Linked DNA regions of Cricetulus griseus. The protein of the gene in region 2 purifies or fractionates together with the protein of the main gene of each other region. This does not show direct contact. Links are inferred from orthologs where the notes say so. Each region holds a gene or a part of one and is shown on either strand. Other genes may lie near its edges.

Region 1 (4,090 bases), on a different chromosome or scaffold from region 2:
ACACATTCAATGCCAAGCTATTTATAACAGCAAAAGGTCGAAAACAAGCAAGGAATGACCACAGATGCTCAATGTGTTGACTTGAAGGGAAAAGATTCCCTGTCCTGCCTGAAGCTTCCTCAGGGTAGGTTGTGTGGGGACAGGTCCTTGCCATTTTAGGGCCTGAGTCTGTTCCACCCATCACCAGAAAGCCCTTCAAATATTTGGTCTCCAAAAATCCTTCCAAATCATCCTCTGCCTCTAGAGTGATACCTGGAGCCTACACCTGCTAATCACTTACATCTGGACACAGCCCACTACCAGGCCATGGTGCTATGTGGTTAACTCTGCATCTTTGCAGACCTCTGTCTCTGCCTAGGAACCTTTTGTCACATGGCTATCCCTACTACCTCCACAAACCCAAGATGCCAAGGCTGGCTTTAAGCACCAGGACACACTCCCAGAAGGGCAACTGTGTGTCCCTTTAGTGCTCAGAAATTAGCTCAAAAGCAGCCACTGTCTGGTGGGGAGCCTAGCATAAACAGCACAGGACCAAAAAGCCCGCCTGGCATAGAAGGTGTCATCATGCCAGAGACCCCTAAATATGTTCATCAGAGAAATGAGGGACCCCAGTGACATGGGGGGTGAGGTAATATAGTATGTTTTATTAAAGCTTGCCTGAGGATTCAGAAAGCAAGTAAGCCTCAAGCTACCGAGATCAGGCAGTGGTGGTACACACCTTTTATCCCAGGACTCAGGAGACAAAGGCAGATGGATCTCCCTGAGTTCAAGGCCATCCAGGGCTACACGAGATTGAATCAGTCTAAAAGAGTAACAGAGCCAACACCTTTAATCCCAGGACTCATGAAAGGTTATTTAGACAGGAACAGGGTCTCAGAGCTGGCATTCATTCTCCAGCCACACTGAGGATAGGAAGACATTGGAGTCTAAAGATTCTCTAGCCTCTCGGAAGAGAGCAGAACAGTCTGGGATTTCAGTATGAGGTTTGGTGGAGCCAGGATTGCCTTTCAGCCTGAGCTATAAGAAAGAACTAATAGCCAGCTGCTTTGCTTTTCTGATCTTCAGCTTAAAGTTTGAACCCCAATATCAGTCTCTGGGTCTTTTATTGATCATGCTACAGGTAGGAAACTCTTCCAGTGGGTTGGATGTGTATGTGTTGAGGGGAGGTCTGACACCTGTTTGTTCCAGATCTAAGCTGCAAAACTTGCCCCAAAGCTCATACCCTAAGTGGCAAAAACTCCCTAAACTGTCCAGAGCTCAATCCTGCTCCTCCCTCAGGAACTTGTCTCTCTGAACTTCAGTTTCCTTCTTGTTTTGAGGACAGGATATGGCTATGTAACTGATGTTATCTTTAAAAATTTTTGTTGAGATAGGGTCTCACTTGGCATTCCACCACACCTAGAACTCTCTATGTAGACCAGGCTTGCCTGCCTTGAATTTCACAGAACTGTGTGTTTCAGCTCCCTCCTGAGTACTGGAACTTAAGGCAAGTGCCACCACAGTTGGCCAAATCACATTATTTATTCTGTGTGCTGTATGTGCGTGGGCTCATGTGACATGGACAGAGGACAACTTGCAGACTCTGTTCTACCATGTAGGCCCCAAGACTGAATTCACGTTATCAGGCTTGGCAGCACACACAAATACCTGTTGACCTATCTCATCACCCCCAGGTTGACTTTGAAATAGAAAAAGATCCTCCTGACTCCAACTCTGAGTAATGGGATTTCAGGTGTGCACCACTTACAAGCATGTTTCTTGGATAATATGGACTGTATAAACTGATAAAGAGGATTAAAAGGAGTCATTAATGTAAAGTCTCAGAACAGTGTATGTACTGGCCCAATGTCATCCACGTGTTTTTTTTTTTTCCTTTGAGTTCCAGTAATCCAGGCTGGCCTCTGCACTTCTGATCTTCCTACGTCTGCCTCCCAAGCGCAGACCACCCAACGCCTGCACCATCACACAAGGTTTATACGGTGCTGGCGATAAAGCCCGGGGCTTTGTGCCTGCTACTGCTAGGCAAGCTCTCTCTCTACCAACTGAACTACATCTCCATCATTTACTCAGAGTTTGAACTACCGCTGCACACACAGGCACCATCCCACCCAATTCCAAGGCACCACAATTTAGGGCTCCTGCACCACGTGACCCAGGCCCCACCCCCCCCAAAGGCAGGCCCCGCCCCTACCAGTCCAGGCCCAGCCCTAGAAGTCTCACACCAATCAGGCTTCCTGGGCACGCCCACAATGTTCTTCAACTGCCCTAACCCCATCTATAACCCCCCGCTGTCAACGCTTTCAACGCAGCCCGCCAGCCAAACCCAGGGAAGCCCCGCCCCTCATGGAGCCCCGCCCCAACGGCCTCGCCTTCCACTCCGGGCCCCACCCTCTCCAGGGCCCGGCCCCGCCCCGGTGCATCCGGGGTCCACAGGCCTCTCTAAGCCTCCCTCTTCTCACTGCTGCGGACTAGGGCCCGAAGCCTAGTGAGCTCGGCCTGCCGTGGCTTCCTCCGACTCTCTACCCGGGATAGGGCCCCGCTGAAGCCTGGGGCTCCACCCTGGACCCTCTCGCCCCGTACTGCGGCCTCGACCCTCCCGTCGCTACCGCGCCCTTGCCCGCCTGTACTCCACCGGGCGCACCTTTGAATAAGTAGTCGTACTCATCGTCCCGGGTCCCCATTGTCCTGGCGCTTCCGGCGGGATCGGCGACTCCGCAGCCCCACCACAAACACCCGACGGGGGCGGAACCGGCGCCGCGCAGAGCGGCGGTCCGACGACCAGTCAACGGCGAAAGCGGTAGTGACAGGCACCCGAGCAAGCCAATCAGACTTAGGAGCCGAGCTCAGGTGGGTGGGAGCCTCTTGGGATCCACCCTTCTAGCCCTCGGTCTCATGGAGAAAGGCGGAAGGAATGCGGACCTTTCCGAAGTGACAGGCTCAGGAGCCTATCAGAAGCAGAGGGGGGAAAGGCGGGGCGGAAGACTGGAACAATGAAGTGGATTGACAGAGGGCGTAACCAATGAGGGCCTGCATTCAGAATCGGCTTTCCCCGGACCTGTCGGGGAAGGGAAATTGAGCTCCCTCCAGGTGATGTTAAGGACTTTAACGTCCTAATGACATCATAGGTCAGTGCGTCTGCCCTGGCTTCTTACCCTAGCCCCATAAACGACCATTTCCGGGTGTGTGTGTGTGTGTATGACGACTGCGGGAACCTTCTCTGGGTGGTAGTCCCCCAATTCTTTGTTTAAACCTAAAGCTTATGTCAGTACCTCCCAAACAAATAGGGATCCTAGACTTCTTTATTTGCTCCTTTTCTCAACAAATTAAGTCTTCTGTTTTCTGCTTTTCATCAGTACTCACTTTTTTTTTTTTTTCTTTTTTAAAGACAGGTTCTCACTAAGTAAACCTGGTTGTACAGGAATTAGTGATGTGAATCAGACCACACCTGTCTGGTTTTCTTTTTTTGAGACAAGGCCTAATGTTACTCTGGCTGCCTTTAAATTTGCTATGTTATTTATGGATTACTTTGAACATTTTTTTCCCCTGCCTTATTTGGAGCACAAGGTCTCGACTGTGTAGCTTCAGCTTGTCTGGAACTTGCTGTGTAGAACTCAAGAGATCCACCTACCTCTGCCACACACAAATGTACTGGGATTAAAAGACATTTGCCACCACATCCTGACTTTGAATTTGTGATCCTCTTATACACTGGTAACTTAGAAGTTACCTCTCTGATCTCATTTTCTTTCTCTGCTCATGTGTTCCTGAGATTATGTGGATTGTTTCCTTAAACACATACACAATTAACAGTCTGCTTTGTGCCATGAAGTCTTTGTTTAACAAATATTCAGAGGCTGGGCAGAATACTAAGGGAAAGGAATGCAGCTTAATTGTATTTATTTTACATCTATGTATGTATGTATGTTTTGTTTGCATGTTGTGCACTCTGTGCATGCAGTTCCCCGTAGAGGCCAGCCCTGAGACTGAAGATACAGACAGTTGTGATCTGCCATGTGGGTGCTGGGAATCAAACCTGAATCCTGTGTAACAACAGCCAGTGATCTTAACCACTGAGCCATCTCTTCAACCC
Region 2 (3,500 bases):
TTGCCTCCCAGCTTCTGGGATTAAAGGCATGTGCCACCACACCCAACTAAGGTAGGGTCTTGTATTTTCTAAACTGGCCTTAAAGTCATATATGCTCCCACTTCCCCAATATCTGCGACTTTAGGCCTACATCACTGTGCCAAGTTCTTTATTTTTAGAAATAACTCATTATTGGATTATTATTCTAGATGGTTATAAGGGTTGAGGGTAGAGCTCTGTTGCTAGAGTACTGTGTAATAACACTCAAAAGCCCAAGTAAGATAGATGCATTGGACTACCCTTGTCTAGCATGTAGACCAAAAAAAAAAAAAAAAAAAAAAGAAAGAAAGAAAGAAAGAAAGAAAGAAAAGTACAGGGCTAGGGATATAACTTGAGGGCAGAACACTTGCCTGTTTTGTTCGGTCACTTGCACTACAAAAATGAATGGATAAATAAAAGCAAAGTTCTGTATTGTCCCCCACCTGCTTACTCTTCATTGAGGCAGTGTAGAAGAGCATTGGTATGAGAGCTGAGAGCAGCAGAGAGGAATTCACAGATGGCATCAGGAGCCCCGTTGGAGCTGCTTCCATCCAAAGGTAACCTCTCATCTTTTCTTCCCCTAGATGGTACACCCTGAAGTCCAAACCAGGAAAGAAGGACAAAGAGCGAGGAGAGATTGAGGTCGATATCCAGTTTATGAGAAACAACATGACTGCCAGCATGTTTGACCTCTCCATGAAAGATAAGTCTCGAAATCCATTTGGAAAACTGAAAGACAAGATCAAAGGGAAGAATAAGGATAGCGCTTCGGACACCGCTTCAGCCATAATCCCCAGCACAACACCCTCAGTGGACAGCGATGAGGAGTCTTTCTCAAAAGACAAGAAAAAGAAATCAAAGATCAAGACTTTGTTTTCCAAGTCAAATTTGCAGAAGACGCCGCTCTCCCAGTCCATGTCTGTCCTGCCTACTTCCAAGCTAGACAAAGTGCTGCTTCATCCCGGTGACTTGAAGTCCCGGTGGGATGATGATGACAATGAGGATGAGTCCTCCTCTGCCTCGGATGGTGAGTTTCTGTCTTTGCTCACTCATCTGCTTCCCCAGCCTTTGTTCTGAGAAGGAAGAGGCAGGTCTTTGGGTTTTAGTTACCACAGTGATGATGGTGATGATATTCATTAAGGCTTTGTTCCTTAGGAGAATACAATAGTCTTCTCCAAGGCTTTGGAGCTCACAAAATAAGTAGATTTGAGGGGATTTTGCTGCTGTTTGTTTTTTCACAGTCCTGGAATCTGGCTCAGGGCCCTAGTATGCTGGGCAAATGCTCTAACCCTGACACACATCCCTAGCACCTGTTGTATATAATAGAATAAAACTATAGGACTGTGTTGTGACAGGCTGTGTGTATGTCTGACTCTTCATTAAATCTTCAGATGTCAGCTGAGCTTCTATCACGTGCCTAACTCCCATGTGGTACATCCCTGGTGGAAGCTAAGTAGTCCAGTCTCCTTGACTCAAACTGTGTTTTTTGAACTTCAGCTTCAATTACTGAATCCCTTTTTATGGCCAGATTTTGTTACTCTATTGAGAACGTAGCCTTTTCCACTGGCTTAACATGGAATTTCTTAACTTTGGCATCACTGATTGTTTGGGTTGATAATTTCTTCTTGTGGGGAACCATCTTGTGCATAGGAGGATGCTTAGGTAACACTAGTACCTTCCAATCAGTTACCTCGATTGAAGATGTGTGCGGATGCTGATGGATTGACAGATGCCCCTGCCCATTGCAACTACTTGTTTTACCACTCCCATGCTCCTCTCTTCCGGTCTGCACGCTAGGATGAAAATGATGGCATCATACATGTTAATCAAGAACTCTGTCACTGAACTTTGCCTCAGATCCCTCACTCATATAATTTCCCTTTTTGTTTGTTTGTTTTATTCCTCTAGAGATTGAACCTCAGTGCCTGGAGCATGAAAGACAAACGCTGTAACTTGGAGCTGTATCCTCAGCTTCATTTTTTATTTAGTGTGTCTGAAGGTCAGAGGCTAGCTCGTGGGGGTGGTTCTCTTTTGACTATGTGGGTCCTGGGGATTTAATTCAGGTCACCAGCTTTGCAGTAAATACCTTCACTCTGTGAACCATCTCTCCAGAACTTACCCTTTGTGTTATTTTCTTCCCAGTCATGTCCCACAAGAGAACACCCAGTGCAGACCATACACAACTGAACCAGACCAAGAAAGAGGGGCTCTCCTTCCTCGGAGGCCTCCGGTCCAAGAATGACTCCCTTTCCAGATCTAACTTGTGTATCAATGGGAACCACGTTTACATGGAGCAGCCAGAGGCCAAGAGTGAGATCAAGGACAGCAGCCCTTCGAATTCCCCATCCCCACAGGGCTTCAGGAAGAAGCATTTGTTCTCTTCCACCGAGAACCTGGCTGCCAGATCTCCTAAGGAACCAGGGGAAGGAGGTGGCGTGACCTCTGACAGGCGACTGTCCGACTCTTCCAGCAAGGATTCTGTGAAGTCTATGTCTTTGCCATCCTACCGACCTCTGACCAGTGGGGACAGTAGAGAGAGTATGTCTCCAGCAAATACGGAGGCTACAAAAGAAACAAAAGAGAGCAAGAAGCAGGAGAACAAGAAATCCTCTTTGCTTTCTCTGGTGACAGGAAAGAAAGATGTGGCAAAAGGCAGTGAAGGCGAACCTCTTCCCATTGTCTCAGAGAAAGAGAAGGAAAGGCAAGGCACGAGCACGGAAGCCCAGCTGAGGGAGGAAGACCTTGGACGAAAGTCTGAGAGAGATGTTGTACCTGTTGCCTCCCAGTGGGGCAACTCCCTGAATCCCTTTGAAGATGTGCAGATCTCAAACCCAGAAGCCAGCCTGGAGTCTAAGTCTGAACCGAAGCCACCAGTTCCCGCTCCAAGGGCTCCCCAGACCAAAGCTGTAAAACCTAGGTAAGTCCTAGTTTTTTACATGTGGGACCTTTCTCTGCCACTACCTGGTATTTAGCAGTTTCCACTAGAGCAAATCTGGTCAGTTTCAGGATGTGTGTGCAAAGGTCTGCTAGTCTTAAGTCATTTGAACCAGTCACCTCTGCTGGCCTGGCCTGGCCTGCCCAATGCAGAGGACAAAAGTGTTTCCCAGCCTAAAGCTCAGCCATGCATGGGTGGGGGTTGTTTTTCTCAGTGAGCTAACCAGACTCCAGTGAAAAGAGACACTCTGTGGTCGATTCTGAGCATATGACCTGGTTGCATTGAGTACACAGGTTGAACCCATGTTTAAGTTTTCAGTGCACTGCCATTGGAGATGGCTGCCTCTCCTGGCACTTGGCATCAGTTTGCTAGTGTTCGACACCCCTGGTCCATCCTTTAGTGTACCTGTGACCATTCTGTTTCCTCTGTGCCTGATCATGAGAGCCTGCCTCAACCTGAACAATCTGTTTTCTGAGTGACTTCCATGTTGACATTTCTCTGGTATGGGGGTGGAGAGACAAACTTTTGGAGATTGTACACACAGGTT

Evidence for each region. The genes of interacting proteins can lie anywhere in the genome.
Region 1: the proteins of Rab11fip1 (region 2) and Rab11b purify together in Homo sapiens (affinity purification with mass spectrometry; 3 studies listed by BioGRID and IntAct, counting the BioPlex papers as one, with this or other methods). This does not show direct contact. The link is inferred for Cricetulus griseus from reciprocal best matches to the Homo sapiens genes RAB11FIP1 and RAB11B.

What each region holds. Positions count from the first base shown.
Region 1 is NC_048598.1:95,215,502-95,219,591, reverse strand, and holds the start of Rab11b (ras-related protein Rab-11B), read right to left. Parts: upstream 2,801-4,090; 5' UTR 2,682-2,800; coding exon 2,642-2,681; intron 1-2,641. UniProt on the Homo sapiens protein: The small GTPases Rab are key regulators of intracellular membrane trafficking, from the formation of transport vesicles to their fusion with membranes.
Region 2 is NW_023276807.1:56,678,570-56,682,069, forward strand, and holds part of Rab11fip1 (rab11 family-interacting protein 1), read left to right. Parts: intron 1-602; coding exon 603-1,045; intron 1,046-2,160; coding exon 2,161-2,935; intron 2,936-3,500. UniProt on the Homo sapiens protein: A Rab11 effector protein involved in the endosomal recycling process. Also involved in controlling membrane trafficking along the phagocytic pathway and in phagocytosis. Interaction with RAB14 may function in the process of neurite formation.